2 linked regions of the Yarrowia lipolytica genome follow. The protein of the gene in region 1 interacts with the protein of each later gene in a pairwise test. Links are inferred from orthologs where the notes say so. Each region holds a gene or a part of one and is shown on either strand. Other genes may lie near its edges.

Region 1 (4,190 bases):
CGACTGCATCCCGAAATCATGCGAGACATCGTTCTGTTCGGTCTCTGTGGAGCTGTGGGCCAGGTCTTCATCTTCCAGACCCTCGAGAAGTTTGGTTCTGTCGTGCTGGTGACCGTCAATGTGACCCGAAAGATGTTTTCCATGCTGCTGTCCGTTGTCTGGTTCAACCACCGGCTGACTCTCGGCCAGTGGGCTGGTGTAGCCGCTGTCTTTGGCGGTATTGGCTTCGAGGCCTGGATGAAGATGAAGAAGAACTAGACCATAACGGAAAAGAATTGCAGTCTTCACCAAAATCAAGGCTGGACAAAGCGAAGCAAATAAAATGTAACATAGCTATTTAATACATCTCTATACCACCTTATAATGACCTATCGTAGCACATCGTAGGTTTCCCCCCAGCTACCAACGACTCATATGCGCTCACATCTACACTCGGTTGGATTATCACCCCTTCCTCGCTTGGTTCGTCTGTTTGTGAATCTGTACATCAATCATAATCTATTACTCTCTATACTCCCCCTACATGAAAGGTTCAATGTTGAACTCGATGCTGGAGGAAGCATAAGGAATCTCAAACTTGGCCAGGACATTGGGATGCAGAATGCCCATCTCTCCAATTACCTTGGCCTCGGCTCCGTCCTTGGTTCGCAGGTGGATGGTGGCGCCTCGGCCGGGGAAGAAGGTCTCAGAGTGCGACTCCTCGATCCAGTAGCCTCGGGAAGTGGACTCCTTGGGGTTCTCGATCCACGAAACTCGCAGCATCTGCATCAGTCGGCCAAGAAGGCCGTGCACAGTCTCGAAACCGGAGGTCTTTCCGGAGTAGACGGCTCCGAAGTTTCGCTGGTTGTACGACTTTCGCTCGAGGGACTCGTCCTTGAAAACAACATCACCGGTCTCAAACACCTTAATGGGCAGCGAGTGCTTCTTGTTCTCTCTGATAGTCTTGAGAATACCGGGGAGAAGCGAGGTTCGGATCACCTGGTACTCCTGTGTCTTGGGGTTGGCAAGGTGCACGGCCTGGCCCTCGTCCTTTCGGTTGAGGAAGGCAAAGTTCTCGTCGTGCGAGCACAGGGTCAGAGGCATCACCTCGGCCCAGCCGCTCATGGCCACCTCTCGTCGAACAATGTCGGACACCTTGTTGATGAGCTGGGGCTTACCGACGGTGGCAGACTTCATGGGGAGGGTCTTAGGCAGACTGTTGAAGCCGTAACCAATGGCAGCGTCCTCCATGATATCGCACTGATGCAGAATGTCGGATCGGGTGGGGGGGATAGCCACGTCAAGCACATCGGGGTTGGAAGTCTTGGAAGCCTGAAGCGACATCTTTGCCAGCAGCTTGATAATGTCGTCGGCAGACAGATCCAGACCCAAGCACGACTTGATGTAGGGAATCTCGGCCTGCATGACTCGAGGTGTCATCTCAGGGGTGATTCGAGTCTCACCATTGTGCTCGGAGACAACCTTGAGAGGTTCGACGGTGAAGGGCTCGGCGCAGTACTCGGAGAAAGCAGCGACAATCTGAGACAGAACAATCTCCAGACGGGTCTTATCGGTTCCAGTCACCTCAATGAAAATGTTCTTGGTGTCGGGAGAAACCTTGGTCTTGTCGGAGTTGATGATGGGGGGCAAAGAGCAGACAGTGTTGTCGTCGCCCATGACAATGTAAGGGTAGACGGGGGCGTCCTTGATAATGTAGAGGAACTTTCCGAGGTTCTTGTCCTTCTCATAGAACTCCATGACTCCCTCTCCGGTGAGCTCCTTGGTCTGGTTGAGAGGCACGAAGGACATCTTGGGGTCGTTGGGCTTGAAGGCCTTGTAAGCGTAGGGGCCATCCTGGACCATCTTGTCAAAGTCGTGGGTACCAATGGCCACCAGCTGTCGTCCACGACAAATGTTGGAGTGCAGCTTCTCCTGCAGAGAAATGAAGGACTCGTACTTTCGCTGGTCGAGGGTCACGTTTCGCAGAATGGCGGCAGCAGCGTAGGGTCGAACCTCCGCGGTCTCGGGGTGAATGGTGAGCTCAAGCATCTTGGAGGGCTTAGTAAGCTTGATCTCGGGCACCTCGGCCCGGCCAAGGAACACATTGAGAGCCTGCGCAATACCCTCGATGCACAGCATGTCGTATCGGTTGGCGGGGATCTCAATCTTGAGCTGGGGACGCTCATCTCCAACGCAGTCGTTGGTGGTGTCCTCGTCCAGCTCGATTCCAAACTCGAAACAGAGCTCGTCGAACTCTTCGGTCGTGTAGGTCTTTCCAATGGCCTTGTACAGGTCCTCTTTGTCCACGGAGATGGTAGGCATGGTTGTCGCGGCTGGGTTTCAAAATCGAGGGTAGCTGATACCTGATCTGTGGTGCTTGATGCACTCGAGCTAGAATGACTCCTAATTTTTCGTTACCCGGCCGACATAGTAGTGTGCTGCATGTGGGCGAGAATCAGACAGCGGTTTGAACGGGGGTATTGGAGGTGATTGGGACGGAAATTGGGCAATTATGATCAGGTGACCGACCTGGCTTACTCATGAAAAAATATCCCGGCATTTCGCATGCCATGCTGACTAATCGGGTCCTATATCAAGTGCATTTCATTCATCGGAGTTAGCCTATTGTCTCGTTGTTGGAGTGAGAGGTATCGTACTCGTACCTGACACTGTAGCTTGTAGAACCTGTTGTGTCTGCGATTTAGTGACTTTGTTCTTCATATTGATGACTAATAGACGTCTATTGATTGACGAGCAATGTCGTTGGTGTTCTTCTCGTACTATCGCCAGTATTGAGTCTGGTAAATATACATACAAGTACATGCTCGTTCAGAAGAAACTTCGGCCAGGAGATATTACGCGAGCGTAAAGTGCATTAATATGTAAACATGGCGAGTGTATTTTTTACTGCCCTGAGTATGAGCACAATATAACTAATTGTTGTATGAATGCAAGTACGTGTGCAAGTACCGGTACTTGTACGTATTAATGGATAGGATGTGTTTCAGTCATAGAAAAGGGGCTGTGTTTGGTTCATGCACGTGCCAAATTTCACCAAGCCGGTACTTGTACATGTACAGTATGTACAGGTATCGTACTATTGTAGGTGCTCTTTTTCGGTCGTCATTTCTTGTCACTATGTGGCGTCCAAAACCCCCTTCTACGAGAATTGTAAGAGTGTACAGTATCGTACCCATATTAACGTGTGTTCGTACGTATGATACCGTGTATATTTAGATTCAGTCAGCCCCTTCAGTGAAGCGAACTACAGCTATGATAGTCATCCACCAGAAGTATTACTCAATATGACCATCCATTGTTATAAAAACTAGTTTGTAAGGGGCGTTCTCGTGGCGTGTAGGCGCGTGCTCGTGGCGTATAACGGTGCCCACAGTACGAGTCGATCTTCTTTTTCCGCGCGCGCTTAGAGGATCACGCACTTCTTCTTCTTCTTGCCTGAAGTGGGCTCTCGTCCCTTGGGGCCAATGAGAGCGGCTCGGGTAGCGTGCTCAAAGATCTCCCGCACTCCGTCGTGGGTTCGGGCAGAGCACTCGAGGTACTTGAGTGCGCCAATCTTCTGGGCCACGGCGTTTCCCTCCTCGGTGGTGACCGGTCGCTGGGACGTTCTTCTGAGCTCCTCGATGGTCTTGGGGTCGTTTCGCAGGTCCACCTTGCAACCGACCAGCAGAATGGGCACGCCCTGGCAAAAGTGCAGCACCTCGGAAATCCACTTCTCCTGCACGTTGTCCAGCGAGTCGGGCGAGTCGATGGCAAAGCAGATGATGATCACGTTGGAATCGGGGTACGACAGGGGTCGCAGTCGGTCGTAGTCTTCCTGGCCGGCGGTATCCCACAGGGCCAGCTCCACTCGTCGGCCGTCAATCTCCACGTCGGTCACGTAGTTGTCGAACACAGTGGGCACGTAGACCTCGGGGAAGGTGCCCTTGGCAAAGACAATGAGCAGACAGGTTTTTCCGCAGGCTCCGTCTCCCACAATGACGAGCTTTCGTCGCAAATCGGCGGGCTGTGCTGGCATGTTTGTATCGGTGTCGGTTTTTTGGTTCTTGTCGTCTGTTTAGAAGCTGGGGCGTGAGAAATCTCCTTTTTTTCCCCTTGCAAAACTAACCAAAGTGTGTAGTGTGTGCGTGTGTGTGTGTATACGTAAATGTAAAGTGTCTTCTTTTTGTTTGGCGAGTGTGCACGGTTCGGAC
Region 2 (3,680 bases), on another chromosome or scaffold:
AACTGTGGTGAATTCAACATGACTCTGACAAGATAGATATGATACCATTATGAGTGCAATGGTACCTCTGGCGACAAAGTGGTAATGTAGGTCCAAGTGGATCCAAGTGGTGAAGTGGTGATGTTAGACCCAAATACAAAAGGACTCAAATCTCTGGATAAACGCCGTAGAGACCTGAAAATGGTACCGTTGGATTCCTCCTGACCAGGCGAGTGTGACAGTGTACTTCGAGGCTACACCAAGTGATTTTTGGTGGTCTTTTCGAGACACAACTGGCGGCGTAGTTCATGGTCATCATTACAAGCACGAGTAACCATTCTGTCTCAATCAGATCAGTACTAGATCATCTGAAATCTCGAACAGCTCGGGGATGTTCATTCGGTCCGAATGTCTCCAGCACATTTCTCAGCCTATTACCACCCTACATCCAACGAAACACACCCAGCTACCTCGTTCAATCTAACATCTATTACTTCTCCTATCCTTCATCGAACGCAACATGGTCGTTGCATCACGATACCATCAACCCTTGCTCTCTTCTTCTCCGCACTTAGTTGAGACCCTCATCCAATCGCACAGCAGGGTTGTTCTCCACAAAGTCCAGAGATACCTTATGACCGAGCAGCTCTCGAATGTTTGAGACGCCATACTTGATCATAGTGGGTCGCTCCAGCGATAGACCCCAGCCGTGAACTCGCAGGTCCTTGGGCAGACCCATGGCCTCCAGCATTTCCGGTCGGAACATACCTGAGTTTCCAATTTCGACCCACTTGCCGAGACCCTCGTGCCAGGAGAAAATCTCCAGCGACGGCTCGGTGTAGGGGTTGTAGGCGGGCTTGAACCGCAGCTGCTTGACGCCCATCTGCGAAAAGAACATCTGCATGAAGCCAATCAGGTCTCCGAGAGTCAGGTTGTAGTCGGCAACCACTCCCTCCACCTGATGGAACTCAGCCAGATGGGTGGCATCCACAGCCTCGTTTCGGAACACTCGGTCAATGGAAAAGAGCTTGGAAGGCTTGGGGTCCTTGGCGAGCTGGTGCAGCATCTTGGCCGACACCGCAGTGGTGTGGGTTCGCAGCACTAGCTTCTGGGCCTCCTCAGGCTTCCAGTCGTACCGGTATCCGATGGAGCCGTAGGCTCCGTCCTCGTGAACCTTCTTGACATTGTTCCAGTACTCCATGTCTTCGGGGAGACCCGCCTCCTTGGGATCCTTGACGTAGAAGGTGTCCTGGAGGTCTCGTGCGGGGTGCTTCTGGGGCACAAACAGCGTGTCAAAGTTCCAGAACCCAGAGTCCACGTACTGGTTGGTGGGCATTTCGGAGAAGCCCAGCGAGAAGAAAATCTGTCGGAACTCCTCCCGCACCTTGTTGAGAGGATGGAACGCTCCGGACTGGGGCTGGACTCCCTCGGCGGCAAAGTTGTAGGGCTTGAATGCCGCGTCCTTCCAGGCGCCGCTCTGGATCATGTCGGTTGTCACGTCGGTGGCGTACTCCTTGACGGTAAGCGCAAACTCGGGGCCCTTTTCAATCTCAAACCACACCTGCTTGACCTTAGTGATCAGCTTTCGCTTCTTAAGATCTTGCAGCTCCTTGGCGTCTCCCAGGGTGCCCGTGGACTCAATGGTCTTAAGATCCTCGGCGGTCTTGTCAGTCACGCTGTCGCTGCTCTTGATCAGCTTGGAGCCCTCCTTCTTGACCCAGCCGTTCTTGAAAGCCCGCTGCTGGCCAATTTTGCCCGACGCTCCCAGCTTGGATGCCACGTCAGCCAGCTCCAAACCCTCCAGACCCTTGCACACCTCCTCATAGAGGCGGTACTCGTGCGAGCCCAGCGACACAATCTCCTTGCCCTCCTCAGTAAGCTCCCACTTGTCCTCCTCCACGGCCTTGTAGGTCACCATTTCTCGGCCGGCAAGACTCTGCAGCGTGCCCTGCAACTGGGCGGTGGTATGGGCGGGGAAGGCCACCCGCGAGTCAGCGATGGGGCCCTCGGCAAGCGTTTTCAGCACTGTGGTCGTGAGATCAGACATGGTGTTTGGTGGTGACAGATACTCCCAGAGTTTTTCAGGAGCTAATCCTGGTTACCCGGGAGTGGTGTGGAGAGACGCAGTTCAACCTGCGCTCCAAACACTTTTAAAGAGTGTGTCAATTGGGCTGAAAACCCGATATTTGAGAACCTGACCGATTCTGATTTCTGATTTCATTTTGTCTTTATTTTTCCCCTTTTTGAAATTGTCCTGTTTTCAAGTTCTGATTCAGATGAGTCAGTCTCAGATCTTTTTAACCATAAGCTGACTCAGTCATATCGTCAAAATTTGATACTGACTGTGAAGAGTCCATTATGGGGCGAATATGAACGATTTTAGATCAAAAAATAACCGGGAAACAACACCAATTCTCCGTCTAAACCAAGTTGCAAAAAAATTGGTGCAAAAATAAGTACTTTGAATGCTCGGAATCAGGTGCAGCCTGGATCACTAAATAAAAATGAGAAATGAAATAAAAATGAGGAAATGAAAAAAAAAAAAAATACAAAAAATAAAAAAAAAAATAGAAAAAAAAAAAAAAAAAAAAAGAACGGACTCCAACTAGAAAACATAGAAAAATTTCTAGACATTTTACAGTTTCCATAAATCCTTAGAAACTCTTCAAAACATTTCTTTCGGTTTTACTACTCTCTCAAATCACTGCTCAAGCTTTCTGCACCTACTCAGGGCACTCCACCAAGACGTTCTCCATTGCTCTATGATCCGGACGAAATATCAATAAAAAAACAAGACCAGTAGATTACACAGTCCAAAAAACCACCCATAAAGACCCTTTAGTTCTAGTAAATACCCTCAATCACCCACAAATCACAGTTGAAATCGCCGGACACGTGACCTGGAGGTTTCTCACTAGTGTCCCAAGAACTTCAACATTTTATCGCCAGCCATCATAGTATAGTGGTTAGTACACCACGTTGTGGCCGTGGAAACCTCAGTTCGATTCTGGGTGATGGCATTCTTTTTCCCCCTATCCCCTTTTTTTTTGTTTTGCTCTGCAACTCCTCTCAAGGCGCATGTATTTTTTTTTCCATATGCACTTGTCGCAGTTGGTTTTGAAAGTAAAAAGGTTTTATTTTTTTATTACTAAATTGAAAGATTTAGTCACGTGACGACGGGATGGGAGACTGATATGAGAAGCGAGTTAGGCTGACTAATAAACCCATAGTTATACTGTGATGTACAGTAAACGTACCGCCAGATATTTTTGTCTGGACAATTCTTGTATATTTGTGCAGTAAAGCTCCCTGTGCATTTTCACTGCTCCAGGTACATTTTATCAATTTCTCACTAGTTAGTTGGATAGAGTCAACTAGAACTTTGATTGTTACTTGAATATGGTCAGAGTGAAAGGTCCTACGTTCTGTCTTGGAGAGTCCCAGAGCGAATCGGAAAAAGTGCAAACGACTCCTGGCCGTGCAGTATTCTTTCTGGTAGAAACACACCACTAGTTATATCAGAATCAGGCAAGACATGTTGCGCCATTTCACTGGTAAACTGCTAAAGTTTCGGGCGGATCTTGCACACGACATTAGATCTACTAGCAGTTCCACCACTGACCAAAAACATGTTTCGAACTTTGGTGCGGATGAACCGGCACGCGCGGCCCAAGGGCACGTCGTCGCGACCTTCTCACGGC

Evidence for each region. The genes of interacting proteins can lie anywhere in the genome.
Region 2: the proteins of YALI1_E27144g (region 1) and YALI1_D20473g interact in binary tests that used the Saccharomyces cerevisiae proteins (3 or more experiments, as listed by UniProt). The link is inferred for Yarrowia lipolytica from reciprocal best matches to the Saccharomyces cerevisiae genes FRS1 and FRS2.

Annotation. Positions count from the first base shown.
Region 1 is NC_090774.1:2,712,114-2,716,303, forward strand, and holds YALI1_E27144g (uncharacterized protein), read right to left. Parts: upstream 2,302-4,190; coding exon 520-2,301; downstream 1-519. Other genes in the region: YALI1_E27113g (uncharacterized protein), read left to right, coding at 1-258; YALI1_E27161g (uncharacterized protein), read right to left, coding at 3,404-4,015.
Region 2 is NC_090773.1:2,045,627-2,049,306, reverse strand, and holds YALI1_D20473g (uncharacterized protein), read right to left. Parts: upstream 2,027-3,680; coding exon 551-2,026; downstream 1-550. Other genes in the region: YALI1_D20457g (uncharacterized protein), read left to right, coding at 3,609-3,680.